Linked DNA regions of Sus scrofa. The protein of the gene in region 1 binds, or shares a complex with, the protein of each later gene. Links are inferred from orthologs where the notes say so. Each region holds a gene or a part of one and is shown in the gene's direction. Other genes may lie near its edges.

What was found.
Region 2: SNRPD2 (region 1) and SF3B2 share a complex: the UniProt entries of both Homo sapiens proteins name them as parts of the minor spliceosome. The link is inferred for Sus scrofa from reciprocal best matches to the Homo sapiens genes SNRPD2 and SF3B2.
Region 3: SNRPD2 (region 1) and SNRPD3 share a complex: the UniProt entries of both Homo sapiens proteins name them as parts of the SMN-Sm complex. The link is inferred for Sus scrofa from reciprocal best matches to the Homo sapiens genes SNRPD2 and SNRPD3.
Region 4: SNRPD2 (region 1) and LSM2 share a complex: the UniProt entries of both Homo sapiens proteins name them as parts of the U4/U6-U5 tri-snRNP complex. The link is inferred for Sus scrofa from reciprocal best matches to the Homo sapiens genes SNRPD2 and LSM2.
Region 5: SNRPD2 (region 1) and RBM48 share a complex: the UniProt entries of both Homo sapiens proteins name them as parts of the minor spliceosome. The link is inferred for Sus scrofa from reciprocal best matches to the Homo sapiens genes SNRPD2 and RBM48.
Region 6: SNRPD2 (region 1) and CRIPT share a complex: the UniProt entries of both Homo sapiens proteins name them as parts of the minor spliceosome. The link is inferred for Sus scrofa from reciprocal best matches to the Homo sapiens genes SNRPD2 and CRIPT.
Region 7: SNRPD2 (region 1) and SRRM1 share a complex: the UniProt entries of both Homo sapiens proteins name them as parts of the minor spliceosome. The link is inferred for Sus scrofa from reciprocal best matches to the Homo sapiens genes SNRPD2 and SRRM1.

The regions. Positions count from the first base shown.
Region 1 is NC_010448.4:52,039,675-52,043,648, reverse strand, and holds the start of SNRPD2 (small nuclear ribonucleoprotein Sm D2), read left to right. Parts: upstream 1-1,174; 5' UTR 1,175-1,248; coding exon 1,249-1,250; exon of another isoform or gene 1,251-2,149; coding exon of another isoform or gene 2,150-2,217; intron 2,218-2,646; coding exon 2,647-2,826; intron 2,827-3,974. Other genes in the region: QPCTL (glutaminyl-peptide cyclotransferase-like protein), read right to left, coding at 208-417. UniProt on the Homo sapiens protein: Plays a role in pre-mRNA splicing as a core component of the spliceosomal U1, U2, U4 and U5 small nuclear ribonucleoproteins (snRNPs), the building blocks of the spliceosome.
Region 2 is NC_010444.4:6,278,539-6,281,094, reverse strand, and holds the end of SF3B2 (splicing factor 3B subunit 2), read left to right. Parts: intron 1-1,075; coding exon 1,076-1,175; intron 1,176-1,280; coding exon 1,281-1,466; intron 1,467-1,804; coding exon 1,805-1,876; 3' UTR 1,877-2,056; downstream 2,057-2,556. UniProt on the Homo sapiens protein: Component of the 17S U2 SnRNP complex of the spliceosome, a large ribonucleoprotein complex that removes introns from transcribed pre-mRNAs.
Region 3 is NC_010456.5:49,584,276-49,588,286, forward strand, and holds the start of SNRPD3 (small nuclear ribonucleoprotein Sm D3), read left to right. Parts: upstream 1-1,211; 5' UTR 1,212-1,609; intron 1,610-1,642; exon of another isoform or gene 1,643-1,771; intron 1,772-2,598; exon of another isoform or gene 2,599-2,653; intron 2,654-3,278; 5' UTR 3,279-3,296; coding exon 3,297-3,422; intron 3,423-4,011. Other genes in the region: protein GUCD1, read right to left, coding at 570-612. UniProt on the Homo sapiens protein: Plays a role in pre-mRNA splicing as a core component of the spliceosomal U1, U2, U4 and U5 small nuclear ribonucleoproteins (snRNPs), the building blocks of the spliceosome.
Region 4 is NC_010449.5:23,905,724-23,909,849, reverse strand, and holds the start of LSM2 (U6 snRNA-associated Sm-like protein LSm2), read left to right. Parts: upstream 1-1,326; 5' UTR 1,327-1,552; coding exon 1,553-1,555; intron 1,556-2,164; coding exon 2,165-2,232; intron 2,233-4,126. UniProt on the Homo sapiens protein: Plays a role in pre-mRNA splicing as component of the U4/U6-U5 tri-snRNP complex that is involved in spliceosome assembly, and as component of the precatalytic spliceosome (spliceosome B complex).
Region 5 is NC_010451.4:72,443,369-72,447,610, forward strand, and holds the start of RBM48 (RNA-binding protein 48), read left to right. Parts: upstream 1-1,442; coding exon 1,443-1,586; intron 1,587-2,123; coding exon 2,124-2,314; intron 2,315-4,242. Other genes in the region: PEX1 (peroxisome biogenesis factor 1), read right to left, coding at 1,000-1,248. UniProt on the Homo sapiens protein: As a component of the minor spliceosome, involved in the splicing of U12-type introns in pre-mRNAs.
Region 6 is NC_010445.4:93,923,117-93,927,265, reverse strand, and holds the start of CRIPT (cysteine-rich PDZ-binding protein), read left to right. Parts: upstream 1-1,349; 5' UTR 1,350-1,483; coding exon 1,484-1,499; intron 1,500-3,423; coding exon 3,424-3,489; intron 3,490-4,149. UniProt on the Homo sapiens protein: As a component of the minor spliceosome, involved in the splicing of U12-type introns in pre-mRNAs. Involved in the cytoskeletal anchoring of DLG4 in excitatory synapses.
Region 7 is NC_010448.4:82,307,795-82,311,991, forward strand, and holds the start of SRRM1 (serine/arginine repetitive matrix protein 1), read left to right. Parts: upstream 1-1,397; 5' UTR 1,398-1,672; coding exon 1,673-1,693; intron 1,694-1,728; exon of another isoform or gene 1,729-2,071; intron 2,072-4,197. UniProt on the Homo sapiens protein: Part of pre- and post-splicing multiprotein mRNP complexes. As a component of the minor spliceosome, involved in the splicing of U12-type introns in pre-mRNAs. Involved in numerous pre-mRNA processing events.

The DNA.
Region 1 (3,974 bases):
TACTCCAGACCCTTCCTCTTACGGTGCAACCGCTATTATAGAAAAAGCCCGAAGCCTCATTGCATTGGAAAGGGGCATGCGCTCTAACGACGAAGATCGCGGCACCTGCGGCTAGGGCCCCACGATAACGATAAAGCCACGTCAACCTGAGACTTTGAGGAGGGGGAGGCGGGGAATAAGGGCTCCCCTGTCCCCGTCCGGCCTCACCCGCATCTCCCGGCCCAGAGGCAGCTCCTCAGTCTGGCGGTGCCAGCCGCTCCAAATGGTATAGAACACCGAGGCCACCGCCAGCGCCAGCAACAGCAGGGGCAACAGCTGCGCCCGCGGTAGCAGGCGGCGCTTGGGCGGTGAGGGTGGCTCCAAAAGGCCGCGTTCCCCAAGCCGTAGCCGGGGCCGCCCGCGGCCCCCTGAACGCATGGCAGCTTCGCCCTGAAACCGGTCGGGGACTGCGGATGGAGTTTAGGCCAGCCAAGTCCCACCCCATGGAATCACCGGACCAATAAGCAACAAGAGCGGCTGCACCAACCCACCCTTCAGCAAGCAGTAAAGCCAATGGGGACTTTCGTACTGAGGACACGCCTCCCTGTCTCCCTGAAGCTTAAGGGTTGGTTCCCCTGAGGGTTGCACAACCCAAAAGGGAGCGCGAAAGAGGTAGGCACCGCCTCAGCGGAAGAGGGGAAGCCAATGAGAAGCATTTGATCCTAGAAAACAGCCGACCTCCTGGGCGCGGGTCCACGCCCCTCCCGGATGTAAGCAAAGGATTGGTTATTCCAAGTCCAAAGGATTAACAAACACATAAACGGACGGTCCCCTAAGTAGAAGAGGAGGTATCCATCCCTGAAGCGAGGAGCCGATTGGCTTCGTGGATGCCGCGCCCCCGAAGGCAGGGCCGGCGGGCATTTGGAAATGGCTTGTCCTTTCCCTCCTTCAACCTGTGCGGTTCTACAACGAAATGGTTTGAATAAGTCCTGCTTTCTCTTCCTCTCCATCGTCAATATCTGCCCGGTACAGTCCTGAATGGCCTCAAAGTAGTACGTAAGAGTTTTACCCTACAGCCGCCTGTGGCGAGCAGAGATCGCTATGGCAACAGGCCACGCCCCACCCACTAGCTGTGTTTGCGCAAGCGCCCACGGAAGTGGGCCTCAGGAAGCGGAAGTCCCGCCCTTCTCGCTCCTTTCAGAGGGCGAAGAAGCAACGCGGAGACGGTGGTGACTGGAGTGCGCGGTCGCGACAACTACTGCCACCGCCATGTGAGGCCGGGCTAGGCTTAGGTGGCAGGAGTGGGTTGAGGGTGTAAATCTGGCCACTTGCCGGTGGAAGGGGGTGGGCAGAGCCTGGGGCGGAAGCAAACATTTTCGGGGTAAAGTGGCGTACGTTACCGATGAGTTTGAGAACAGATGTGGGGCCTTTTTCGGATCCTGACTTTAGGAGCAGGAGCAGCTTTATCAGATAACGGGCTGGGCTTTCCCAAATAATTAGTCTTACTGAAGCGAATGTTAAGGGGAAGCGATGTACGAAAATGGAACCTGGGAGAGGGGAGTACGGACATGTGGGGAAGAACGATTTGAAGTGAGGATCTTATCAGGGTAATTTGAGCTGGAGACGGTTAGCCTTTTGACCTTATTCGTCGTTATCATGGGTCTCGAGTTATCGGAAGGATTTTACTTACGTATTCATGCAACAATTATTTATTGAGTGTTCATATGTCAGGCTTCTTTAGACACAGAATATGTTAGTGAATTACCCCACTCCCCCAAGGGAAAAAATTCCATTTTGCATTTTATGGGTTGGGTTGAGCCAGGCAATAAATGTAAAGGTAAAATATATGGTGTGTTAGGTGACCGGGGCTATGAATGAAGAAACAGTAGAGCAGGGTAAAACAATGTGGAATGCCAGTTTTGAGAGACAGGACACATGAAGAAGGGAGCAACTGGAGCAGAAAGCTGGAGAAAGTGAGCGCACAAAGATATTTAGGGACGTATCCAGGTAAAGGGGGAAAAGCAAATGCAGAAGCCTAAGAAGAAAGTTGCTGAAAATCTTCCAAGACACCCCTCTGGATGGAACGGAGTGAGAGAAGGCAGCGGATAAAGGGTTTTTACTTTCTACATTGAGATAGGAGCCTCAAGAGAGTTTCGCAGAGTGAGATGATATGACTTGGACCTTGGCACCAACCAGAGACTGCTCTGTGAAGAGCAAACTTGGAGAGCATGGGTGGAGGTAGGGAGACCATTACGGCTCTAGGAGAGAGTCGATGGAGGTTAAGCCATGGTGAGAAGTGGTCAGATTCCGATATATTTGAGAGGCAGGGATGATGGGATTTGCCAGCAGATTGAATGTAGGATGTGAGAGTAAGAAGAGTCAAGTTGACGTTAGAGGTTTTGCTCAAAGACATAGCAAGATGGAGTTGCCATGGATGGAGACGAAGGCAGCTGTAGGTAGATTAAGTTTGGGGGTACCGCGGGGCCTGGTGTTCAGCCTAGGACGTGCAAGCTTGGAACTGTCTATTAGGCAGCTGTGTGGTGATGCTAAGAGAGAGGACTGAGCCGGAGGGTGGGTGTGTTGGGGAGACAGTGAGCGAGAGGGCATGACCACCCAGGCTCTGGCTCCAGGCCCTGTCACCTATGAGTTCCATACTTGCCCACTCAGGAGCCTCCTCAACAAGCCCAAGAGTGAGATGACGCCAGAGGAGCTGCAGAAGCGGGAGGAGGAGGAGTTTAACACGGGGCCGCTGTCCGTGCTCACACAGTCGGTCAAGAACAACACCCAAGTGCTCATCAACTGCCGCAACAACAAGAAGCTCCTGGGCCGCGTGAAGGCCTTTGACAGGTGAGCACCTGGGTCTGGGGAGGTGGTCTGTCCTGGCCTGGAGAAGCAGTCCCAGCTCTAGTCTGAGGAGCCTGGATTCTAGGTTTCTTAGAAGCCTGGGGCATAAGCGTCTGAAGGTGGGGTTCCTGTCATGTCTCAGTGGTTAACGAACCCAACCAGTATCCATGAGGACACAGGTTCGATCCTTGGCCTTCCTCAGTGGGTTAAGGATCCGGCATTGCAGTGAGCTGTGGTGTAGGTCGCAGGTGTGGCTCAGATCCCATGTCTGTGGTTGTGGTGTAGGCCGGCAGCGGTAGCTCCGATTTGAACCCTAGCCTGGGAACCTCCATATGCTTCCGGTGTGGGCTTAAAAAAAAGAGTGCCTGTTGTGACGGTCTCTGTTGTTCCTCCAGCTGTAAAGTTCAGCCATGGACTTGGGGGCCAGTCCTGGAATGATGTCCTGGCTCTGCCTCTTAGCAGCCGTGTGACATTCAGCAAGGGACCATATATCTCTTCCCTACAATGGCCGTAATCTTGATGGTTGCAAAGATTCAGTCACTTAATATATGTGAAGCACAGTCAGTCCTTAGGAGTAGCGCCCCCGGCACACGGTCTTCCTCATCAGTTTTCTCAGTTCGTGCACAGTGGCCTCTGCCCTTGTGGGGTACTGTCTTAGGCTCCAGAGATGCCATGGTGACTGAATCATACATGCCTCCTGTACTCAGGGGAGTCTACAGCAAACACATAATGTGTCAGGAAGACAAGTGATGGCAAAGTCTGTGCAGAAGAGTAGAGCCAGCTGAGAGTTTGGAGTGTGGAGAGGGAGTGCTGCTGTCCTCGGTGGGTCATGCAGGAGGCCTTCTAGGTGGACAGATGGGGATAAAACGAAGGTGCAACCTAGGGTCTGCATGTTTCAGCCATGGGGAGCAGCAAGTGATTTTTCCTCTCTGGGCCTCAGTTTCCTTATCTGCAAAATACTATGCATAGAATAATACCCCTCAGAACAGTCGTAAGGGTCAAATGATTTTCTGTAGGAAGAGCACTTAACTCAGTACCTAACATGTGGCAAAGGCTCAGTAAACATATGATCGGCAGGAGTTCCCTTTGTGGCTCAGCGGTAAATGATCCCTACTAGCATTCATGAGGGCGCAGGTTCGATCCCTGGCCTT
Region 2 (2,556 bases), on another chromosome or scaffold:
CCAGTCCCAAGGGAGCAGCAGGCGTGTCTGTTGCCACTCGTCCTTCCGGTGGTGGTTCTTTCCCTGCCTTGGTAGCTCCCCCCGTGCGGACCTCCCCCGAGAGCTTGGGGGATTCCTCTTCTCCAGTTCTCTGTCCTGGGATCTCTGATCGCCTTAGTCTCCCTGCATTTTCAGCTTCATCCCTTCAACTCCTGGTGTCCTCTGGGCTCTGTAGCAGTTCCCCCGCCTCCGTCTGTGGCCTGGACACTCGGTGCAGTAGGTGCGCAGTGGAAGGAATCGCCTCGCGTGTTTCCTGCATCTCAGGAATCACGGTCCTTTGTTGTTTCACGTCCAATGACGTGAAAACCACTGTTTCATCTATTTCGCCCATTTTTTGACTGTTTCAGGTGGGAGGGTAAATCTGATCCCTGTTACTTCTTGTCTGGAAACAGAAGTCTCAAGTTATGCATATTCAAGCAAGAAAAAGGACGACGGGTCCTGTGGCTGGAATGTAGCGAGCGGGGATTAAGTAGGGGACCAAGTCTGACGCCCTTAGACCCGGGTAAAGTGGGTTTATTCAGACAGTGATTGGAAGCCTGAGGGGGTCTGGAACAAAGGAGCGACAGGATCTGAATTCTCTTTCTCGGTGTCTGTCTGGCTGCTTTGTGGAAATAAATTTTCACTTCTTCCTGGGCGAGGTAGGGAAGAACCCATGGTCTGGGTTGATATTAGATTTGTTTTTGCATTCAAGTAGAATTTTTCTTTTCTTTTTTCTTTGGCTGCACTTTTGGTTATGCAGAAGTTTCCAGAGTTCCCAGGCCAGGGATTGAACCTGCACCACAGCAGTGACAACGTCGGCTCCTCACCCCACGAGGCCGCTGGGGAACTCCTCAAGTAGGATGCTTGAAATAGGTGGCACTTTTCACTCTCATGGGTCTTTGGGACCTGTAGAGGCAGCGTGGGCACCATTGTTCCCTGGGTGTCTTGGATTTTCTCCAGGAGCTCGGTGGGGGTGCTGCCTGTGTTCCTTTTGTTTTCCCTTCTGGAGACCCTGTCTTCCCTGCCTTTATGGGCCTGACGCCTTTGTCCTTTGCAGAAGTGAGACACCGCAGCTCTTCACTGTGTTGCCGGAGAAGAGAACAGCCACCGTTGGAGGGGCCATGATGGGATCGACCCACATCTATGACATGTCCACGGTGGGCACTCAGAGGACGCTGCTCTGGGGGTTCGGAAAGCGTGGGAGCGAGGGCTTCTCTTGGAGTGTCTCTTTGGAGGTGACAGGGCTCTGATTCCTTTTCCAGGTTATGAGCCGGAAGGGCCCAGCCCCCGAGCTGCAAGGTGTGGAAGTGGCCCTGGCACCCGAAGAGTTGGAGCTGGATCCCATGGCCATGACCCAGAAGTATGAGGAGCACGTGCGGGAGCAGCAGGCCCAAGTGGAGAAAGAGGACTTCAGCGACATGGTGGCTGAGCATGCTGCCAAGCAGAAGGTGGGCGCTCACTCCCCGGGAGGCTGGCTATGGGAGCGCCAGGGAGCAGGGCCTCCTTTGTCAGCGCAGTGGTGTCCTCTAGTGGTGAGGGAGCGAGAGGACACACTGCCTGCTGCCCTGAGCTTCCCAGATGCTGGAAACCTTGGAGATCCTCCCTCGGGCCACCCTCTTGAAGGAAGATGCAGCTGAGGTGCAGGGAGGGAGAGGGACTCACTCGGGTTTGAGCATCCAGTCGCAGTGCTTTTTCTGCAGACCTGTGTGCTTGTGTCGGGCACCCTTGTTTGGGGAGCAGCAGGTTGTTTAACCTGTTGTAACCTGTTCCTCTTTCTCTCCTACAGCAAAAGAAACGGAAAGCTCAGCCCCAGGACAGCCGTGGGGGCAGCAAGAAATATAAGGAGTTCAAATTTTAGGTCCCCTCACACGCCCGGCCCTCCTTTAGGCCCTTTGCCGGACACCTGGGCTTCGCACATGGATACCCAAGAGCCAGCTCTCCTGTTACTCCCCAGGGCTTGTCCTTTCAGGTTCATGTTCTTATTTTAGACCTGTTTTGTAAATAAAGCTGTTTCCCAAGGAAAGAGATGAACATTTAACGCTCCTGATCCTCCTCTGTCTTCTTTTAGTGCCTTCCTGCCAAAGAATTAACAGGAGTTCCCGTCATGGCTCAGTGGTAATGAACCTGATCAGTATCCATGAGGATGCGGGTTCCATCCCTGTCCTTGCTCAGTGGGTCAAGGATCCGGCGTTGCCGTGAGCTATGGTGTAGGTCACGGATGTGGCTTGGATTCTGAGTGGCTGTGGCTGTGGCTGTAGCTGGCAGCTGTAGCTCTGATTCCACCCCTAGCCTGGGAATCGCCATATGCCATGGGTGTGGTCCTGGAAAAAAAAAAAAAAATCATTTTCTACAACAAGTTGCTCCAGTGATGACGGGGCAGGCACCGGATCAGGTGTGGCAGTTGAGACTGGTGCTGAAGCTAAATCTGAGATTGTGTGTTTTACCACTGCCTGCTTTGTAGGAAGGCTCTGGGGGAAGGACTTTTAGGTCTGGTTTGACCTTACCACTGTGTCCTTGGGGACTAAAAATAGCCAGCTT
Region 3 (4,011 bases), on another chromosome or scaffold:
ACCAGAGCAGGAATTACTGCTCTCTCCCTCCCCAATTTAGCAAAGCAAACCGAGGTTCACACACAACCTGAGTTTTGGTTTCTGCCTGCAAGGGAACACAGGCCACCTGGGACATAAGGAACTAGAGTGAAGAACTCTAGCAAGACAAAACACTGAGTCTGGGAGGCCGGGGGGGGGGGCCTCCCCCATTGCTCTATGCTCCCTGCCAGTTCCCTGCCCTTCTAGGCCTCAGTTCCCCGAGGGGACAGGATCTCTCACGGCAGCTTCAGCAGGACTTTTCGCTTCTGGGGAAGCTGCCGCCCCAGCCTCTCAACCAGGACCCTCCCACCAAGACCGCCATCAGAGCTGCCTGGGGTTCCAGCCCTGGGAGTATCAGGAAACCCCAGCAGACCGCGGTTGGCGCTGCGGGAGCCAAGGCGGGGTGTACACCTGGCCAGACTTCACTCAAAGCTCTACAGCCTAGGACATGGCGGCCGTCGGTCCAAGGTCACGCGGCCGGACCCTGACCGCTGCTAGGGTGGGCCCCCCTGTTCCCCTGGATGAGGGCTAAGCCCTCAGGGAGCACTGACCGGGCTCGAGCGGCGGCCCCGATGCCTCCCCCTCCGTCCTCATGACGTGGGCGGCGCGGGGCTCCCATGGCCCCGGCCCGGCGCCGGCTGCAGCTTCGGCCTCGTCTGGGGCGGGAGCGGGGCCGCTAGTCCCCGGGTTCCTGGGCCGCCACCGCCACTGCCAGCACGGTGGGGAGAAGGGGAGGCGGCAGCTGGGCCGCCCCAAGCCCCGCCCCGGCCCTTCCAGGCCTTGGCCCGCCCCGTCCGCCCTGGGCCCCGCCCCGGCCCGCCCCCGCCTCCTCTGGCCCTCAAGCCCTCAGGCTCCCAGGCTCCTGTCTCCGCTGGTCCCGGCCGCTCAAAGTGTCAGCTCCCAGGGTTGCCGCCCCGACCTCCGAGGCCTGGCGCGGACGCGCAGCCCTTCCCGCCCCGCTCCCCGGAAGCCCCGCCCAGGCCCGGGAGTTCCACGAACGCGGGCTCCCCAGAGCCCCCGGCAAGCTCCGCCTCTGCCAGGTCCTACTCCTCCGCCAGCCTCGGGGCCGGGAGACCCAGCCCCACCTCGACTCTCTTTGGAGGGACGGCCGAGGGCCGGCACCCGCTCTGCTCCTGTCTCCCTCTCCGCTCAGGGGTCCCTTTACCTGGCACTGCCGGGTTCCGAAGGTTAAATTGTGAGGGGAGGTCCTGGCCCTCGGCCCCACCGCTGCCTCCCCCGATCCCCGCCTCGCCGTCCAGCCCGTCGCCGGTGTGAGGTGTTTGGAAAAGCGAGTCCCTCTCTGCCCTTGCCGGCCCGAGGGTCGGTGTTTCCGGCGGCACCTGGGTCCAGTCATCAGTCTTCCGGGGCCGGAACTCTTGAACCACAGACCGAGTTTCCCAGCCGGTGGGGTGAGGTGGAAGCGAGGACGAGACCGCGCTCACCACTGGGAAAAGGAAGAGGGCGGGCCCTGCGCGAGGCATTTTGGGAACGCGTGGTATTCTGGGAGCGCGGGACCCGCCATTCGCTTGTCTCACGCTTCGCAGTCGGCAGAGTCGCGGCCGCACCGGGAAGGAGGAGGAGACCTCAGGCGGTGAGGGGAGGCTGGGGGCGGGCGTGGGGAGGCCGAGGCACTCGGAGGAGTAGAGGGTTGGAGAAGGACGCGCTGCCGAGGAGCTCCGCGGGGCTCGCCGAGGGACAGGAGCGGGAAGCCGGGCCACCAGACAGTGTCGCCTCACTAGCGCTTGGAAGTGAGGTCGTTAGCTTTTCCTTCAGTTTCCATACCTCCCCAGGCCAGTGTTTTTCGAAGCATCCAGGCAATGGTCTTGAGGTCGTTTCTGGCTAGTTGCTTCCTTCCCAAGTCCTTTGCTTCCCTGCCTCCATCCGCCCCCTCATGCTTTCTACACCGTTACACAAGCTTCTTTCAAGTTTCCCTGCATCTAAGCTGTGTTCGAACCATTTTGTAAGTGCTGCTGCCTTTCCCAGGGATAATTCCTTCCCTATAGTCCTGCCGTGGTTCTCCCATTGCGTTCAGCATAAAATCTACACTTCTGAGGCTTCTCACGAAGGGCGCCTGTCTCTTTCACTGCTCTTCCTTTTTCTCTTTATGCAGGAGATGTATTCCACCTTTCAGCTGACCATTTTGGAATTTAAAAACCGACAGCTTTCCTCTTTTAAGGTCAAGTCAGGCTTGCCTTGATTCCCTTTTTTCTCCAAGATAAGCATTTCCTGTGTGTAGCACATTATCACTTTGTGAATACTTTGATATTTTCTCTTTAACTTTGATGGTGAAGTAAATGGAGAGTCAAAGAGCACTTACTGGGTTGAATTAAATGCATGGACTCTTCTTGATTTTAATTTTCGTTCTTTTTTTTTTTTTTTTTTTTTTGCCACCCTGAGGTATATGGCGTTCCCTGGCCACGGATCAGATCCAAGCCATGGTTTCCACCTTCCTCGAAGCTGCAGCAACCCACTATGGTGGGCCAAGGATCGAACCAGTGTCCCAGGGCTCCAGAAATGCCTCAGACCACATTGCGCCACAGCTGGAGCTCCTTATTTCATTTTAATTTTATTCAATTTCAGAACTTGCAGTGGTTACTGTTTTGGACAGCTCAGGTCTACGTCCTACGTTCTCAAGGTGATGTTACCCACTGCTTTGGGTTAACAAGTACACCTGCCTTCCAACCCCCTCTGCTGCAACATAGTTATTTGATAAAGATAAAGGGACCTGTGGTAGCAGGGAGATGAGAGGCAGTCTTTTCATTCCTGTTAGCTTTCCCTCTGTCTAGCCCCCCTGTTCCTCCCCACCCAATCTTGCATCTTGTTTGCTAGATATGTTCTTCAAGCTGGGGTTAAGCTACTTTTTCAAGTTCCTTTGGGAGTTCCCTTCCTGGCTCAGTGGTTAACGAACTTGACTAGGATCCATGAGAATGTGGGTTTGCCCCCTGGCCTTGCTCAGTGGGTTAAGGGTCTGGCATTGCTGTGAGCTGTGTAATCGCAGATGTGCCTCAGATCCTGTGTTGCTGTGGCTGTGGCATAACCCAGCAGCTGTAGCCTCTATTCAACCCCTAGCCTGGGAACTTCCATATGCTGGGGGCGCAGCCCTAAAAAGCAAAAAAAATAAAGTTAAAAAAAAAAACACGCCTTTGGCATTTTTGCTGAGTGTTACAGAGTGTCCAGCCTTGAGTGAGGCTTGTGCCACATGCCTCTCAGGCCCTGAACCATGAACTCTTATCTCTCTCTCTCTCTCTCTCTCTCTGTAGAATTCTCTTCCTGCCGAGATGTCTATTGGTGTGCCGATTAAAGTCCTACATGAGGCTGAGGGGCACATTGTGACCTGTGAGACGAACACGGGAGAGGTGTACCGAGGGAAGCTCATTGAAGCCGAGGACAACATGAACTGCCAGGTATCCTGCTTTGCACATGAGCCTATTGGGGGGAGCTTGAGCCTGTGTCTTGGAGGACAGAAAGCTGGTGATTGAGGGTCTTTTTGAAGTTCTCATTCAGCAGTTACTGAGAGCTTAGTGAATGCCAGGCACTGTTCCAGATACCAGGGATGTGGGCATAGGTAAGAGCCATTTGGAATATTTAATTTTGTCCTTTGTTTCCCAACCCCATAAACCGTTTTCTCCCATATCTCGGGGCCTGTTTAAGAGAAGTAGCACAATGTTCAGTAGAACCATTAGGTTCAGGGTCGCTAGTAACTCATCCCTACTTGTTTGCCCATTGCTTTGCAGTTTGCATACCATGTGGTTTGGATACCATATGTAAATCTTCCACTTATATATGGTAGTTATTTGCCATTCTTCTTGGGGGAGGTATCTTCTTTGATTGCATTTATAGCAGCTACCCTGTGAGGTAAGAAGGTTTTGATGATAGCTTTGTCATCCATAAAATGGGAAAGATAAGATTAAAGGACTTAATTACTGTACTTACTTGCTAATAAATATTGAAGCCATTTCTTGACGTGGTGCCCTTCTGATGGCAGTACTTTGA
Region 4 (4,126 bases), on another chromosome or scaffold:
CAGGGATAGACTGATTTAGGTGCTTAGGGTTCAGAGGTACAAACTTCTGCTTGATGTCCTGGTGTTACTTATCAGTGGGGTCTGTCACTCACAGGGTCCCTTATTACATCCTTTACATGCTGAAAATATTTCTACAACAAACTCCTAACAAATGGGTAGTGAGGTTTTTTGTTTTGTTTTGTTTTGTTTGTTTGTTTGTTTGTTTGTTTTGCTTTTTAGGGCTGCACCTGTGGCATATGAAAATTCCCAGGCTAGGGGTCCAAGCAGAGCTGTAGCTGCCAGCCTAGGCCACAGCCACAGCCACAAGGGATCTGAGCCACCCTCTGCATCCTACACCACAGCTCATGGCAATACCGGATCCCTGACTCAGAGTGAGGCATTGAACCTGCATCCTCATGGATAATAGGTTAATTTACACTGTGCCACAATGGGAACTCCCAGATGGATGCTTTTTTGCAAGATTAGAAACAGAGAATTTAGGAGTTCCCATCGTGGCACAGCAGAAACAAATCCGACTAGGAACCATAAGGTTGTGGGTTCAATCCTTGGCCTCGCTCAGTGGGTTGAGAATCCATTATTGCCATGAGATGAGTTGTAGTGTAGGTCGTAGACGCGGCTAGGATCCTGTGTTGCTGTGGCTCTGTCCTAGGCCGGCAGCTATAGCTCCATTGGACCCCTAGCCGGGGAACCTCCATATGCTGTGGGTGCGGCCCTAAAAAGACCAAAAAAGAAAAAGGAGAAAATGGAGAATTTATTTGGATCTCATTCCTTGAAAAAAAAATTTCACCTTTTGCGTCATCGCATACTGATAATGCTTTGGGGACATGAGTATAGAAATACATGTAACTGTGAATTTGTGTCCCTTTGTGTTTGAGAGGGCAATGTTTGGAAGTGAAATATCAGAATGGGTATTTCTATCCCTGAGTCAGTCGGTTTTGCTTTACTCAGCCCCTTACAGGAAAGCCCTAGGCAAAAGCGTAAAAGAAATGTGGACTGAGGTTGGGTTCTCAGGAGAAATAAGTTTATCGGGAACCTTTGACAAAATCGGATTTGTGTGCAGGTTCCTGATCTTGGGAACTCAAACATTTTTACTTTTATCAAAGTGTAAGAGACATAGAAAAGTGTACAAATCATCATGGGTTTTCACAAACGCCCAGTTTGCAATAGTAAGTGTCTTCAGGGTATGAGCAAATCATGCTGGAACCACACTATTTTTAAAAGGAAGAAAACTTGAAAGCCGGGGGAGCCGTCAGAGCCCGAGCCTGCGCAGTGGGAGCCGGCCGCTTGGGGAGGAAGTCGGAAGGCGGGAAGCCCCGCCCCTTCCCTGGCTTTCGCGTCCCCTCGGTCCTACCCCGCCCGCTCTGCTTGTAGCCGGAGCGCACGGTCCGCTCTCCTCCGTCACCCTGAGCTTTCCGCGGCGCTTCCCGCCGCCCCTGCGCAACCCCGCCCCGCCTCGCGCGCGGCCTTGTGCTCCGGTTCCCGCCCGGCCTCCGGACCGCGGTACCCGGCCCTCGCCTTCCCGGTCAGGCGGGCATCCCGCGGTGCAAGCACAATGGTAGGTACCGTGATGTCACAAGGGGGCGCCCTCGGGGAGCGCGACCGTTGGGATGGTTGGGGACGGAGACGGGGTCGCGGGGCGGCGGCGGGGCGGGGGGGCCCTCCGGGAGCTTTGTTCCTTTGGGCTGACGTTGGGCCCTGGGATTTTTCTCTCCCTCCTTACTTCCTGCAAATCAGGTTCGTTGGGGAGAGACCTCAAAACGAATGGGTCTTATTTGTTTGAGTCGGCGGGAACAGCAGGAGAGGGAAAAGCTAGACCTCAAGGAGCACTTCCCTGACAGACCAGGCCCCGAGAGGGTGCGGGTGTTACACTTGGTACCCTTCACTGGGTAGTGGGGGCAGGACGCCGGGAGAGGTGGTCCACTGAGAGCCGAGCCCGAGGCGTGCGGGCCAGAGCCTCTCTCCCGGGCTTTAGGTCAGGCGCTCGAGGTAGTAATCACCGGGGCTCCAGCCGTTTTTCCGAGTATTCTTTCCTCTTAAGTTTTGAGAACTGCCAGAGAGATGCGGCGGGGATCCCCAGGACCAGTATCTCATAATACTGGCCGGGGAACACGCCTCTGCCCAAGTCCCTTCCCATATGATGTTTTTTCCCCCTCTCGCCCAATAGCTCTTCTATTCCTTTTTCAAGTCCCTTGTGGGCAAGGATGTGGTCGTGGAACTCAAGAATGACCTGAGGTAGGTACCTGTTCCGACAAGTCTGTAGGGGGTGGATGTGCCCAGCCCTCCGGAACAACCTCTTTAATTTGACAAGTATTTGAGGGCTGGGCAAGATGGGAGAGAGACAAACGAAAGAAATGACTTGTGCCTTAAACTGACAGATTAGCTGCAGAGTTTTATCTTTATGGGAAGAAGATCCAAAGAAAAATGTAAGTACTAGAAAGAAGTCAGGGGGCAGAGGCATCAATCACTTTTTTTTAATAAAAGTTTTTTCTGATGAAATCACATGGTCCTTTGACCCAAATTCTAGAAATGTAAGTATTGACTCCAGAAGTAAAGATTTATGTACAAAAATTTTGGTAGTTTTTTTTTTGTTTGTTTGTTTTAATAGTCAAAAATTGGTGGAGGGGAGCCATTAATAGGGAATGGGTTATGGAGTACCCTTGTGGTGCAGCAGGTTGAGGATGTGGCGTTGTCATTGCTGTGGCACGGGTTCCATCCCTGGCCTGGGACTTTTCACATGCCACAGGCACAGCCAAAAAAATAAAATAAAATAGGGAATGGGGAGTTCCCGTCGTGGAGCAGTGGTTAACGAATCTGACTAAGAACCATGAGGTTGCGGGTTTGGTCCTTGCCCTTGCTCAGTGGGTTAACGATCCGGCGTTGCCGTGAGCTGTGGTGTAGGTTGCAGACGTGGCTCGGATCCCGAGTTGCTGTGGCTCTGGTGTAGGCCAGTGGCTACAACTCCAATTGGACCCCTAGCCTGGGAACCTCCATATGCTGCGGGAGCAGCCCAAAGAAATAGCAAAAAAAGACCAAAAAAAAAAAAAAATAGGGAATGGGTTAGATTTTGGTATTTCCATTAAAGGCAGCTGCCACATGGAAATGAGTTGTATTAATATGGAAAGCTGTTGCAGAATCATCTATGTGGTATAATTGCCCTTTTGTTGTAGACAGTATAAAAGATAAACAGATGACCAGTGCAGTCCCTTGTGTCTGTACTGTTTTTACATCCCTCGTCCCCTTGTATCATTAACTTCAAATCATCTTTTAGGACGTGGATTAAATGCTGTATCCTTGCACTTTCCTGGTTCTTCTAGGCCATAGACACTTCTATCATATAGAGTCTTTCCTTTCTAGTGGGTGCTTCTCAAACTGTGATTTCATAGAAATGTATTTACTGTTTAGGGCTGGTCTTCTATAGGGCCAAGATGTGTTTAAGCGCCCACTGTGTACCTGTGTCTAGCACAGCCCTGGTATAGAGTAGGTGCCTAATGTGTTCTGAAGGGGAAAACAAAAGCTAACATTTGAGGCTCTCCTATAGACTAAGCACTACTCTGAATACTCATTTATTAACTCATTTAATTCTCTGAACACCTCTACATGACATATACTGTTGTTGCTGTTTTACATGAGGAAACTGAAGCTTGACTAGGTTAGGAAACTTGGTTAAGTCTATACAACTAGTAAAGGACAAAGCCAGAACTTAAATCCCTTTCTGCCTGCCCCTCATCCTTTTTTGTTGTTGTTGTTTAATTAAGAACAGGGTCATACTCTGTGCAATTGTAAAACTTGCTTTTTCACCTGACACTATGTTGTGGATATCTTCCATCTCAATAAAGTTGATCTTTAACGTTCTTAATGTCTGAAAGGTGCTTTTTTTTTTTTGAAATGGCTGCACCTGTGACAAATGGAAGTTCCCAGGCTAGGGATTCAATCTGAGCTAGATCCTTTAATCTCCTGTACCAAGCTGAAGATCAGACTCACACCTCTGTAAGGACCCTAGCCGATGTAGTCGGATTTTTTTGTGGGTTTTTTTTGTTTTGTTTTGTTTTGTTTTCTTGGTTTAGGGACACATGTGCAGCATATGGAAGTTCCCAGGCTAGGGGTCAAATTGGAGCTGCAGCTGCTG
Region 5 (4,242 bases), on another chromosome or scaffold:
TAATGGCAGGATCTGTTGAAATTAATGTGCTATGAAAGATAGGGGAAAATACTCTAGAAAAGGAGTTACAGAGAAGTAGCTAAAATGGAAAAGGGAGATATTTGAAATTATTGCAAACTGTTGAAATTACTGCAAACCAGTGGGTACTATGCATTCAGGATTTTCGAAGATTTCAAACAGCCTATCCTTTTAGCCCCTTAAGCAAGCACGCTCAAACTCGTAAACCAGGTGTCTCCACTTTACAATTAGGAAAATACAGATGTTGCATCTCTGTAACCATGCAAGTGTTAGAGCTATGAACCGCCACAACCACAAGGTGCAGAGCGCAAGTGAAAACAGAGGTTCAAGGAATTCTAACTACCTATGACCAAGTATGCATACTCCCACAGCACATTCCTGGAGCACCCCGGAGGTGTTTGGAGACACAGGAAGAAGGTTCATATTAATCTATCCCGCTCGTGGGACACAGGGCTCCACCTCTGTTAACCAATAGAGACTTCACAAACCAAGTCCGCCCCTCTTTCTGAAGGCCGGGACCACAGCCATGCAAGCACCTGGAAATCGCTGGCAGGAAAAACGTTTTCTAATAATGAAACAAAACAGAACAGAATCCCAAAAGACAAACAAACCCGACTTCTCAAGAGCTTTTCCAACCTGGAGTGAGGAATAGTTGAACGAAGAGGGAGAATATCGGGGCGTTTCAAAGCCCAGTTCCGGCGAGTAAAAGACCTGGAATACAGCAGGTCAACTCAAAGAAGCCGTGCTGCACTAGACGTGATGTGGCTGTCAAGAGCGCCCAGGCCAGCCCTGCCCGCAAGGGGTCCTCAGTGTGGCCTCTGAACCGGTCGGCGGGGCTGGGAAAGCAGCCCTAATCCCGCCGCCGGGAGAGGCCTGAGCGGCCGCTGCGTCCCTAAAAGGCCTGGGTCTCGGCCGACCGCAGACTGGCCAGCAGCTGTCCCAAGTCGGTGGTGAGAGCCCGGCACCAAGCGGGCGCCTTACCTGCAGCAGGTGTAGCTGGGCCACAAGGCGCCGCGGCAAGTGGAGGAAGCAGTCGCGAGCGTTGGTGAAGGCCACCGTCACGGCCGCCCCGCCTCCGCCAGCACCCGCCAGGCGATCGCCGCCCCACATTGTCTGCAGGCACCGACCCCCAGCCGCCCAACCTATCTTTCCCGGGCCAACCCCGCAGGTCGCGGGCGTCGGACCCGGAGACGATCGATCGGCCCCGCCCCCTAAGGCCCCGCGGCGCATCCGGAGCGGGAGGGGCCAGCACGCCTGCGCCTGTTCTCAGGGCCTTTCCGCCGCGCCGCTGGGGGGCGACACGTTCTTCACCAAATCCTCGCTCACAGGAAACGATGGCCGACGGTGTCGATTCTTCAGCCAATCTCGGAACGCCTTAACTCACCCCTCTCTCTTATTGGGTAAACGGTGGGGCAACGGGGCGGATGTTGTCGTTCGCGAGGGATAACACCGGCAAGATGGCGTTGAGCGGCGGGCAGCTAGGAGGCTTATTCGATCACCACGTCCAAAGGGCTGTATGCGACTCGCGGGCCAAGTATCGAGAGGGGCGCCGCCCTCGCGCTGTCAGGGTAAAGTGACTTTGGTTTCAATCGCTATCCCCGGTAGCTTTCTGTGAGTTCCAGCTTCACATGCCCAGCTTACGTAAATAACATCTTGAGAGGCTGCGGTCACATCGATTAACTGAAGAAGAATATGAAAAACGCTGGTACTCAAGTACCAAAGATGCTTGAGTGCTCTTTAGTCTACTGCTAGAACCTCAGCTCCGTGAGAAGAGGGCTGTGTTTCAGTCACTGTATCTTCCGTGTTTACAGTGGTCCTTGTTACATGGTAAACGCTCAGCGAATACTTGTTAACTCGTCCCTGTAACTTCTACCGAGCTAATTTGTGGAAAACACATTGATGGAAGATAATGTTACGTGCTTTAGCTAAAGGCCTTTGCAAGAAGGGTAAACTATTCATTATGTAGAGAGAGGGGCAAGTTTTTAGATTTCCTGTTTTTATGCAAACCAGTCGAAAGGTGTTTTTTTCAACTTTAAAAAAATATAGGATTAGATTTGTCCCAGGCTTCTTTGTGAAATACATTTAATGTGTCTGATTTCTTATAGGTTTACACGATCAATTTGGAATCTCGGTACTTATTAATACAAGGAGTTCCTGCAGTCGGAGCCATGAAGGAATTAGTTGAGCGATTTGCTTTGTATGGTGCAATTGAACAGTATAATGCTCTAGATGAATACCCAGCAGAAGACTTTACAGAAGTTTATCTTATTAAATTTCTCAATTTACAAAGTGCAAGGTAATATGCAAGTTAAACAGTGTCTCATTTTCTCCATTCCCGTTGCCTACATTTGGCCTCCCTCATTCATTTCTGAATTACCCAGTAACTAACATGACCCTGTATTCTTCTAGTCTTTTTAAATGTTAGCCCTACCAAACTCTTTCTATCACGTCATTCCCATGCTTAACAATTTTTTTGTGTGTGTAGTATGGTAGATTAAAAATTGGTTTGGGAGTAAATTTTCAAGTTTCACTGTTTACTAACATCATGACCATGGACAGGTTACTTGACCCCATTAAGACTGTTTTCTTATTCTTTAGACACCAGTATGGTAAAAGGACCTACTTACGGAGGTTGTGTGAGGATGACATGGATCCATGTATAGGGCTTAGCACAGTGCCTTCTATTCAGAAGGCAGTAAACATTAGGTATTGGATCTCTTATTTTATGGACCTGTGTAATTGAATCTCCTTCTATATAACATAAAATTTTCTCCAACAATTAAGTACGAAATGCCCTATCTCTTTTTTCCCTCATTTTAAAAAATGAAAGTGTTGATTTACAACCTTTCAGGTGTACAGCAAAGTGTTTCAGTTATACACACACACACACATATACCTATTTGTGTGTGTATACACACACACATTCCTTTTCAAATTATTTTCCTTTATAAGTTATTGCAGGATATTGAATAGAGTTCCCTGTGCTAACCAGTAGGTCCTTGTTGTTTATCTGTTTTACATATAGTAGTGTGTAGCTGTTAATCCCAAATCCCCAATTTAACCCTCTTCTTCCTTTCTACTTGGGGCCTTGGCTCTTTTTATGTTGACTCCTATTCTTATTGATAGGCTCCAAGACCCATCTTCTCTTGGCTGTTAGAATTCATATTTTCTTTTCTGTGCTACAGATAGCCCTTGTAGTCTTTCTGCCATAAATCACTTGGGTTAATGTCATCGTGTGTTGTTCTCAGGTTGCCGTTATATATAATCTCACTACCCTAACCAATTTGTCAGCTCCTCATGGTTAGGGATATTTTCTCATTGTGTATTTTAAGGAGTTTTGCATCTCTCACTCCACCTGGTACAGTAGGTCATGCAGTGTGACATCTGGATTTGAATCTTAGCTCCAAAAGCTAATGTGAGAATGGCCAAGTTATAAATCTCTCTAGGCTTCAGTTTCATCAGAGGGTTGTTGTGTTAATTCAAGAGAAGCACTTAAGCACTTTGGTCACTGCCTGGGATGTGGTAAAATCTCAGTAAGTATTTATCATTTTCCCTGGGCACTGAAGTGCTTATTTATTGTAGTAATTCCTGGCCAGTCACAGATGTTTAAAAATTATTTGTTGAATGAATACCATTCTCATTGATTGTTATATATTCAATATTTCCTCCATTATTGAATGTTACAATTTCAATATTTTATTAATTTCTTAAATATGAATCCCATTATAGGAACACATTGTGCCAAAAAGGCTAAAATAAGTATGAGCTAACGCTCAAGAGCCATTTAACATAGAGAAAAATCTCTATTTCATAACCACAGATTGTGTACCTCAGGCCAACCAGCTGGATCCAGTATTGGTTAAAGGGAGTCTGGATAGGTATGGATGACTTGAAACCTATTAAGACTAGGGAGAGGGAAAGAAAGGCTCTAAGAGTAGGCACTGGATCAGTAGAGTCATGCTGTCCACAAGCAGAAATTCTTATTCCCTAAGTATAAGATGTATATACACTTGGCAAAACCTGGACTTTGCTTTTTATTTATTTTTTTGCTTTTTAGGGCCACACTGCGGCACATAGAAGTTCCTAGGCTAGGGGTTGAATCGGAGCTACAGTTGCTGGCACAGCAAGGCGGGATCTGCGATATACACCACAGCTGTGTCTGCGATATACACCACAGCTCACAGTGCCAGATCTCCAACCCATTGAGCAAGGCCAGGGATCAAA
Region 6 (4,149 bases), on another chromosome or scaffold:
AAATACCAAAATGGCAATGTCAGACGCTAGATTCCAATGAAAAGAAGAGCTTCATGAAAAGGGAAAAAAAATTTTACTTTCTCTCTCTCCCATCTCTATATATCTATTTTATGTATGCATGTATTTACAAATTATCTAACAGAGAGCTTATATGTAGTATTGACTAATGTTAAGTAAGGAGTCCACGTGTCACACTGTGGTGACTAGTCCAGAATAAAACCCCATATATATACACACACATATATGTGTACGTGTGCGTATATATAAAAGGGTAAAAGGGCAAATCCAGGCCTTATCCTAACACTCTCATTTATTCACACTATATTTTTCAAAAGAAAATACATTACTGATAAGGAAAAAGACTAGCAGAGATTAGTAAACATTGCAAGCTACCAAGGTCCCAAGTGCTAAAGCCATTTCAAACCCTAGCTAACCTTTTTGATGATATAGATATATACTAGGAGGTATGAATGGCAAGAAAGGAGAAAGGAAATCTTTCTCACCGGTCCTATCTTCTTCTGGGCCACCCTCAAAATCCCAATTGACAGGAGCAGATTTGTACATAAGACAGTGAGCAATACACAAACTTAATGCTGCGTGAATGAGTGAATGAACGAAGAGTAGGTGCAGAGTTGCCCTTCCTGAGAAACCAGCCTTATATTAGGCCTTGGAGAGCTCAGGAGGACTTCCGCCAGGTGCCCCCTGGGGCAGCTATTGCCCAGGTGCCCGTGGTCTGACCTGGCCCAGATCCTCAAGCCTTGCAGCGGAAGAGAGGGCCATTCTGAAAGGCTCCTGGAGGCGCCTTCGCGGGAATCGTGGGACCGTAATCTCCAGCCCCATCCCAAACTGGGTCGCTGCGGACTCTGCCCAAGCCCCAGCCGACTGTGGGCAGAAAGGGACAAGCTGAGAAGCATAATCAAAGAGCACAGGCGTAAAGACCAAGAGAAACGGCGGGACAAACACAGAAAGTCGGAACTGAAAAAGAGCCAGTTCATCGGGGCAGCCCCTGGGTCACGCCGGAAGGGCGGCGCTCGAGGGGCCCGCGGGCAAGGGCCTATTGGTAGCAGAGATTTCCGATCAGTTGGGCAATTGGCGGGGGTGGCTTGCAGCCGCTGGAGGCTCGTGCGCCGGGAGCGTCCGGCTGGGCTTACCTAACTCTCCCGCTCGCGGAAGAGAACGGGAGGGCTACTACCTCCCACCATCAGGTGCAACTCGCCGCCCTGAGTCTCGCGCAGGCGCAGGCCAGCAGGGCGGAGACCGAAGGCCTCACAACCAATCGCAGAAGTGGAGAGGTGGGCCAAGAAGGAAGCCCCGCCTTCCCGCTCTCCTTTATTCCTCCCGCGGCTTTCCAGGTGTAGAATAGGCGGGGCGGAGGATCCGGAAGTGGACTTTCATAACCCGGAAGGGGAGTGTTTTCTCAGCTGTGGTGTTGATGGTTTCCAGCTCCCGATCCTACTGCGACTGAGGGAATCGTCGCGAAAGGATGGTGTGCGAAAAATGTGAGTTAAGGAAACTCTTCTGCGGGAGAAGAAGGCTGGGACAACCTAACTGGAGTTCCCCGGGACTTTATTCCTTTGTTTTTACTTTGGCCACAAGTCTCTGATTCTAGCCTCTGTTCTGTCCTGCCCTTTGACCATTCCTGCCTCTCCATCGACCGTATAGTCCTCCGTTTGTTGCATTCAGGGTGGTCTCCTTGTCTGTTTTGCACCTCCTTGTCTGTTTCCATTGTTTTCGTTCAACCCCTGAGCTTCTTGACTGGCTCCCTCATTTCAGAGCTTCAGGTTGAAATGGATCTTAAAAGTCGCTTCCACAGCAACTGGAGTTGCTAGGTTTAGCAAATAAAAGTACTGGACGCCCAGTTAAATTTGAATTTCAGGTAAACCAAGAATAATTTTTAGTGTGCGTCCTATGCAATATTTGAGATTTGGCTCTGTTTGCTGCTCCTTACTGCTGTAAAGCAAGGCACTTACTTTTAGGACATTGTCTACTGAAAAAGTATTCATTGTTTATTTGAAATTTAAATCTAACTTTTGGCGCAGGGTTCCATACCTGGCCCAGGAACTTCCACATGCTGTGAGTGCTTAAATGGTCCTTGAACGAATACCCAGAGTATTGAGGAATGGTGGCCGGTGTGTAGGAGAATCTCACCACCTTGGAAGCAGTCCGTGTTGATTTTACTGGCTTTTAGAAAGGTCTTTCCTTCTTCTAGTTGCCGTCCAGTAATTCTAATACCACCCTCTGAGATTTGATATTTTTGCTCCCACAAACTGGTTGTGTATTTAAAAAGAGCAGTCTTATTCCCGTTTTCCTGAGTCTAAACATGTCCTCTTAATTTGATTATCGTCAGTTTGATTATCATCTAATTAACTTGATCCATTTCGTTTACCCCCCCCCCACAGTATATAAAGCCTTATAGCTTTGAACACAGAATTTGAATCACAGTTTTCAGATTAGGTGAAAGAATGACCATGACAGTTACTTTAATACATTCTCAAGGTGCAGAGAATAATTTGGGATTTCTGTATCTGGAGACTGGCATTCAGGATGACCCTCTACAATGAGGCCACATCTTACCTTTTTAACTTTATTTTCACTAACCCTTACCATCTTTACAGTTCAGCCAAGCCAAACTATTTTGCCTGACTGCATGTACCTCGAGTTCTCCACGCCTTTTATCAGGATGTGTCCTTTATCCAGTTTACCTTCATCCTCCTTTCTCCTTTTTCTTCATGGTCTCATTACCACAAACCCTCTCTACTGCCTTCTTCACAAAGCTTTCCTGGATTTCCCTAGTCAAGGTTATTTCTTCCTCCATGGAATGTATCTTAGTACTTCAGCTCTTAACATACTGTTTACTTTCAGTTGAATAATGCTAAACTTTTGTTGTTGTTCTCGGAGCCCTTTGAGAATGTGACAAAAGCTGTGGACTTAACAGAGTCTATTAAAAAAAAAATGGATATACAGAGGTTTGTGTTCAGTTTCATCTTGTTCATGTATTTCCTAAGGTCCACATGTGAAAACTCAGGTTAAGAACTGTTGTTAGAGATAAATCAGTATGATGTAAACTCCTTGAAATCTAGAGCCTTATCTAATTCATTTTATTTTTCTCTGTACTTTGTACAATGGTTTATATATCACTGATATTTAGTAAATGAACAGATTTATCAGATTTGTTTAAAGCATTAATGTACAGAAACAAGCCTATTATAGGCCATACTATTATCCACAGATTTGACTGAGAGTCAGTTATCCATGGCCCACAATTAGTATCATAAGTCTCAGTTCACTGGCCCCAAGCCTCAGCAATAACAGATTTGTATGTAATATGAATATTAATACCATTGTAAACTTAAGGCACAATGTAGTGTATTTATTAGATAGTAATGCTAACCCCCCCCCACTTTTGTTATCTTGTTATAACAGGTGAAAAGAAACTTGGTACTGTTATCACTCCAGATACATGGAAAGATGGTGCAAGGAATACCACAGGTATTTTTCCTTTTAGAACATAGAAATTAAATCAGATACTTCCTGTGAATAATGTTTTAGCTTTTACATTATTTGTAAAATGTTGTTAAGCATACAGCATATTTCATCTATTAAATATTAAAGAATACTGGACATTCCCCCCCACAACAATTTAATAACTTCATCTCCTTAGTTTTCTTAGTGACATGTCAGGGTTCCTAATTTGGTAGTCAGGAAATAGAGATAATTGAATGATTTTTAAGCAATGAGTATATCATAGTAACTGATTTGGTTCAGCCTAACTAGAGTTATTATTATTATTTTTTGTTTGTTTGTTTTTTGTCTTTTTGCCTTTTCTTGGGCTGCTCCAAGGCATGTGGAGGTTCCCAGTCTAGGGTCTAATCGCAGCTGTCGCTGTTGGCCTGTGCCAGAGCCACAGCAATATGGGATTCAAGCCGCATCTGCAAACCTACACCACAGCTCACAGCAACACCGGATCCTTGACCCACTGAGCGAGGCCAGGGATCGAACCCACAACCTCATGGTTCCTAGTCGGATTCGTTAACCACTGCGCCATGATGGGAACTCCTAGAGTTATTATTTAAATCCCCCTTTCCTCACCTGGTTTTTATATTCTTGAACAAATCATTTAAATGTTTTCACCTTCACAATCATTAATTA
Region 7 (4,197 bases), about 30 Mb from region 1:
GTTTTCCAACGGGCTCACTCTGGTGCATTTAGAACAGATGCTGATCCGCAAGGGTAGAAGCAGGGAAACCAGATAGGAGGCTAGGGCAGAAGTTCAGGCCAAAGATGATGGTGCTTTGAACCTAGACGATAGCAGAGTGGGTTTCTTGATGGTTTGGCAGTGAGATGTGGGAGGAAGAGGAGTCCAGCTTTTTTTTTTTCTTTTTTAGGGCCACACCTTTGGCATACGGAAGTTCTCAGGCTAGGGTTCGAATGGGAGCTACAGCCGCAGGCCTATGCCACAACCACAGCAACAGGAGATCCTTACCCTCCTGTGCAAGGACAGGGATCGAATCCGTGTCATCATGGATACTAGTAGGGATTTGTTACCAATGAGCCACAATGGGAACTCCAAGAGGAATCGAGATTAACAACCAAGGCTTGTATCTTAAACAAAAGGAAAGATACTGCCATCAACTGAGGTAGGGAAGACTTTGGGAGGGACAGGTCGGGTTTTTGGCCTGGTGGAGGGTGGAGGGAGGGAGTTCCAGGCAGAACAGGAGAAACGAGGAGCCCAGTTCCTACTTATGTTACGTTCGTGACGTCTGTCCAAGCGGAAACATTGAACAGGACGTTGCCAATACATGTTCGAAGCTCAGAGGAGAGGCCTTGAGCTGGAAACCTATGAAGTTGTTGGCAGAATTGGTATTTGAAGCCAAGAGAGTGAATACATTGTGAACAAAAATCAGGAAAGGGAGGCAAGTGTGTGTTGGGGGGGGTGTGTGTGTGTGGTTACGTTACAAAAGATGGCTAGAGAAGGGTCACATGTTCCCTTTCAGAGAAAAAGAGAGTGCATAAAGGAAAGGAGGCAGAAGGCATCCGGTTGCAGGCCCTCGCAGCCAGAGCTGGGCCGGTGAGGCACACGTGAGCTCCGAAAGTCCCGAAGCCTGAAGGCCGGCTTCCTTTCCGTCAGACTCTGCCCGGGGGCCCCGGCTCTCATCAGCTTCCTGCCGGTTCCGAAACTCATCTAACGGACATTTCCAGCTTCTCCCCAAAGCTAAGGAGTTGTAGCGGAAGTCGAGGGTGCGGGACCAAAACGCAGATTTCATTCATAGTACAGAGCTCGACTACTTCAGGGCCGACCTCGATAACTGGAAACTCGTAAAAGCAACACAATCACAACTTTTCTAACGAAAGCGGAGGCCGCAGGCTTCTCCTCTGCGCAAGAGCGGCCTCACAAGCGTCACCCTGAGGTAACAGCCTTTCTCCACAAGCTCTCCATGGAGCCCCCCCCCGGGGGGGGGCAGAAAGCCGCCCCCACTACGGGTCGAAGGAAGGGTCAATTCACGCTGAGCGAACAAGGCTGGTTAAGCGCCACAAAAGGTTTTGCAGGGCGGGGCGACCGGACGACACTCTCTTGCTCGCTCCCATTGGCTGTGGTCGCGAGGCTCTCCTCAAGGACTGGCCACTGGAGAAGCTCGGAGTCCGGTAGCAGCCCGCCTCCCGGAACGCGCGTGCGCACACTTGGCGAGCGCTCTCCACACTGAGCAAGCGCGGCCTCGTGTCCGCTGGAAGGGCGGGTGGAGCAGCGCGAGCTGCGTCCCGGCGCTCGGCTTTCCCTGCCGGTCCCGCCCTCCGTCGCGGTGGCGCGGTGCACCTTGGGATAGGGAGCGATCTCCGAGCGAGGCAGCAAGATGGACGCGGGATTCTTCCGCGTAAGTAGGAGCGCGGGGATCTGGGGTGAGGTGAGGGGCTTATCGAAAAGGCCCAGCAGGAGGCCTAAACTCGAGATGGGGTGGCCAGCGAGCGGAGACTTCGAAGATCCTGAGGATCCTCGTTGCCAGTGGACGCTTCCCCACTACCCTGCGGCGGGGACCGGTGCGCCCCTGCGCAGTCTCCTCCTCCGGGATCGTCCCCCCTACGCGGCAGCGACGGTCGCCGGAAAATGGCGGCGGGAATGGGCCTGAGCGGTACCTTCCCGCCCGCCTCCCTGGCAGGGCCTGCAGGGAGAGCCGCGCGCCCCACCGGGTCCTGGGGCCTAGCGGACCCGCGAGGAGGAAGTCCCTGGGGGGAGGCCGGAGGGAAACCCTGAGGTGACTGGCGGCAGGAGGGCCCTGGGGAGGACAGGTTTGGGGGTACCGCCTCAGGAGAGCGGGTGAGAGGACCGGAAGCAGCCTTGAGCCGCTTTTCTTGAGAAAGCGGGCACCAAACCCCCTCCCCCCGCGCCTCGCGCGCCCTCCCTCTTGGTCTAAGCCTTCCCGAAGGCTCCGGGTCAGAGTTCGCGGGAGCTCCCGCCCAATTTGATAGCCCTTCAGGGAGGGGAATGCAGATAATTTGTAGTTAGAACGTTTGAGTCTGAGACTCCAGGCAGAGGGTGCAACAAAAAGTATGCGCGTTTGTGGAGGCAGGGGTATGGAGTGGATCTACTCTTCGTTCCCGCTCACCGCCCCCCACCCCCTGTGAACGTTCTCTTGAAAATCTTTTTGGTGAAAAGGTTCCTCTTGATTCTCGCCCATCACCTGGAGATGGGGACGTTTTCTCGTCGTAGTTGGCCCTCAGGGCCCATACTTTTACCGGGCGCGTGCTGGACTCTTTTGGTCCCCTTTTACACTCCCGTAGGACCCATTCGAGATCTCGATGGGTGGGAAGTGACACTGATTGGACTAGAGTTTGCAAATTCTTTTTAAGGCAGAACGGACCATATAGAGACCAGTTGATTTAAGTCAGAATCTGTAGTGCATATTGGCTCTTTCCATTCCCTGGAGCATGTTACATGCAGTTTCTGTGTGTTTAAAGGAAAAGATAAAAGAGGGTAAGACCGGGACTTTAAGATATGTCTTGACACTCCAAAGCTAGCATTGAAATGCCTTTTGTCTTGGCTTTAAATGTGCCAACTAGTTTTTCATTAAAGGTTGAAGTGTTATTCCAAGAATTTGATACAGCCGGTTGTTTGATTGTTCTTAGGTTATGCAAACAGTACTATAGTTATTTATGTAATGATCGTTTCCAGTGAGTTTATATCAAATTTTCACACTGCAGATGAACTCTCCATTTTGTGATTTCCATCAAAGTTTTTTTGTGGTAAATACTCAACATATCCTGTAGTCTGAATGTATTCTTTTGAAACAAGTCTGTTCTTTTAATTTTTTCTTGTTATTGTCACTTTCCCTCGGAAGAGAGTTCCAACAGAAAAAGAACAAAGTGGCTGTTTTAAGAATGAGATTTGCTTTTAGTGTTGGTAAAAATCTGGAAGGAAAGGGCAGTGTTTTATATATTGCCTTGGGTTCTTAGAGAAGTTGATTAGATTTGAGCTCTGAATTAAAGATTTTAGGGCAGTTATTCTTTTAGTACACTTCCATCGAGTAATAGACTGAATTTTTCAGTTAAGATGGAAATAGTACCTTTCATTTGCTGAACTTCTGCCACACACCAGTTACTTTATGTATATCGTTTCGGATATTCTCAGCCTTGGGAGGTAGGTTTTAGCAAGTTAGGGAAAGTTTCTCAGACAGGTTAAGTAACTTGCTTTGAGGTCATGTGGTTTACATAGTGACAGAGTTGGGATTCTAATCAGGTTCTTTACTTTCTTAAAAGAATTTTCTCGATCACTTTCCAAAGGATTAGTGGCCAACTCTGAGAACTGATCAGTAGATTTCTTTTTTTTGATGGGCAAGAAGTGGGTTAAGATAAAAAGCGCTTGCGAGAGATACAGGCTGGCAGGCAAGGAGGCTCTCCCAATCAGTAGATTTCATATCACATTGTATATCCGGGTTTAATTGGGTCAGTAGGAATGACAAAATGCAGTCTGGTGGTTACTTGATGGTCTGGTATGTTTGTAAGCTCTCACTTTTTTCCAGTTTGTTTGCAGAAATTGAGTTTATATGGTAGACCTTTATTTTTTATGCACTCTGAGTTCTTCAAGTTGTGAAAACTTAACATACAGTCTTAGGTTCTTCCTTTTTCTGTGTTTATATGCATTGCCACAATAATTTTGTAAGATGATCCTGGCTTTCAGAAGAGGATGAAATGGTCTCGTTTGTAAAGTATAGAAAGTGCTCTCTTTTGAACAAACAAAAAAACCCCTTAAATGCTTTATTAGCATAGAAAGGGGTGTAAAAAGATACATAGCAAACTTGGTTGTGAGGGGGGTGTTTTATGTTGTATTCTATATTGCTGGACTTAATACAATGAATGTATGTTTTGTGTTTTTTAAATACAA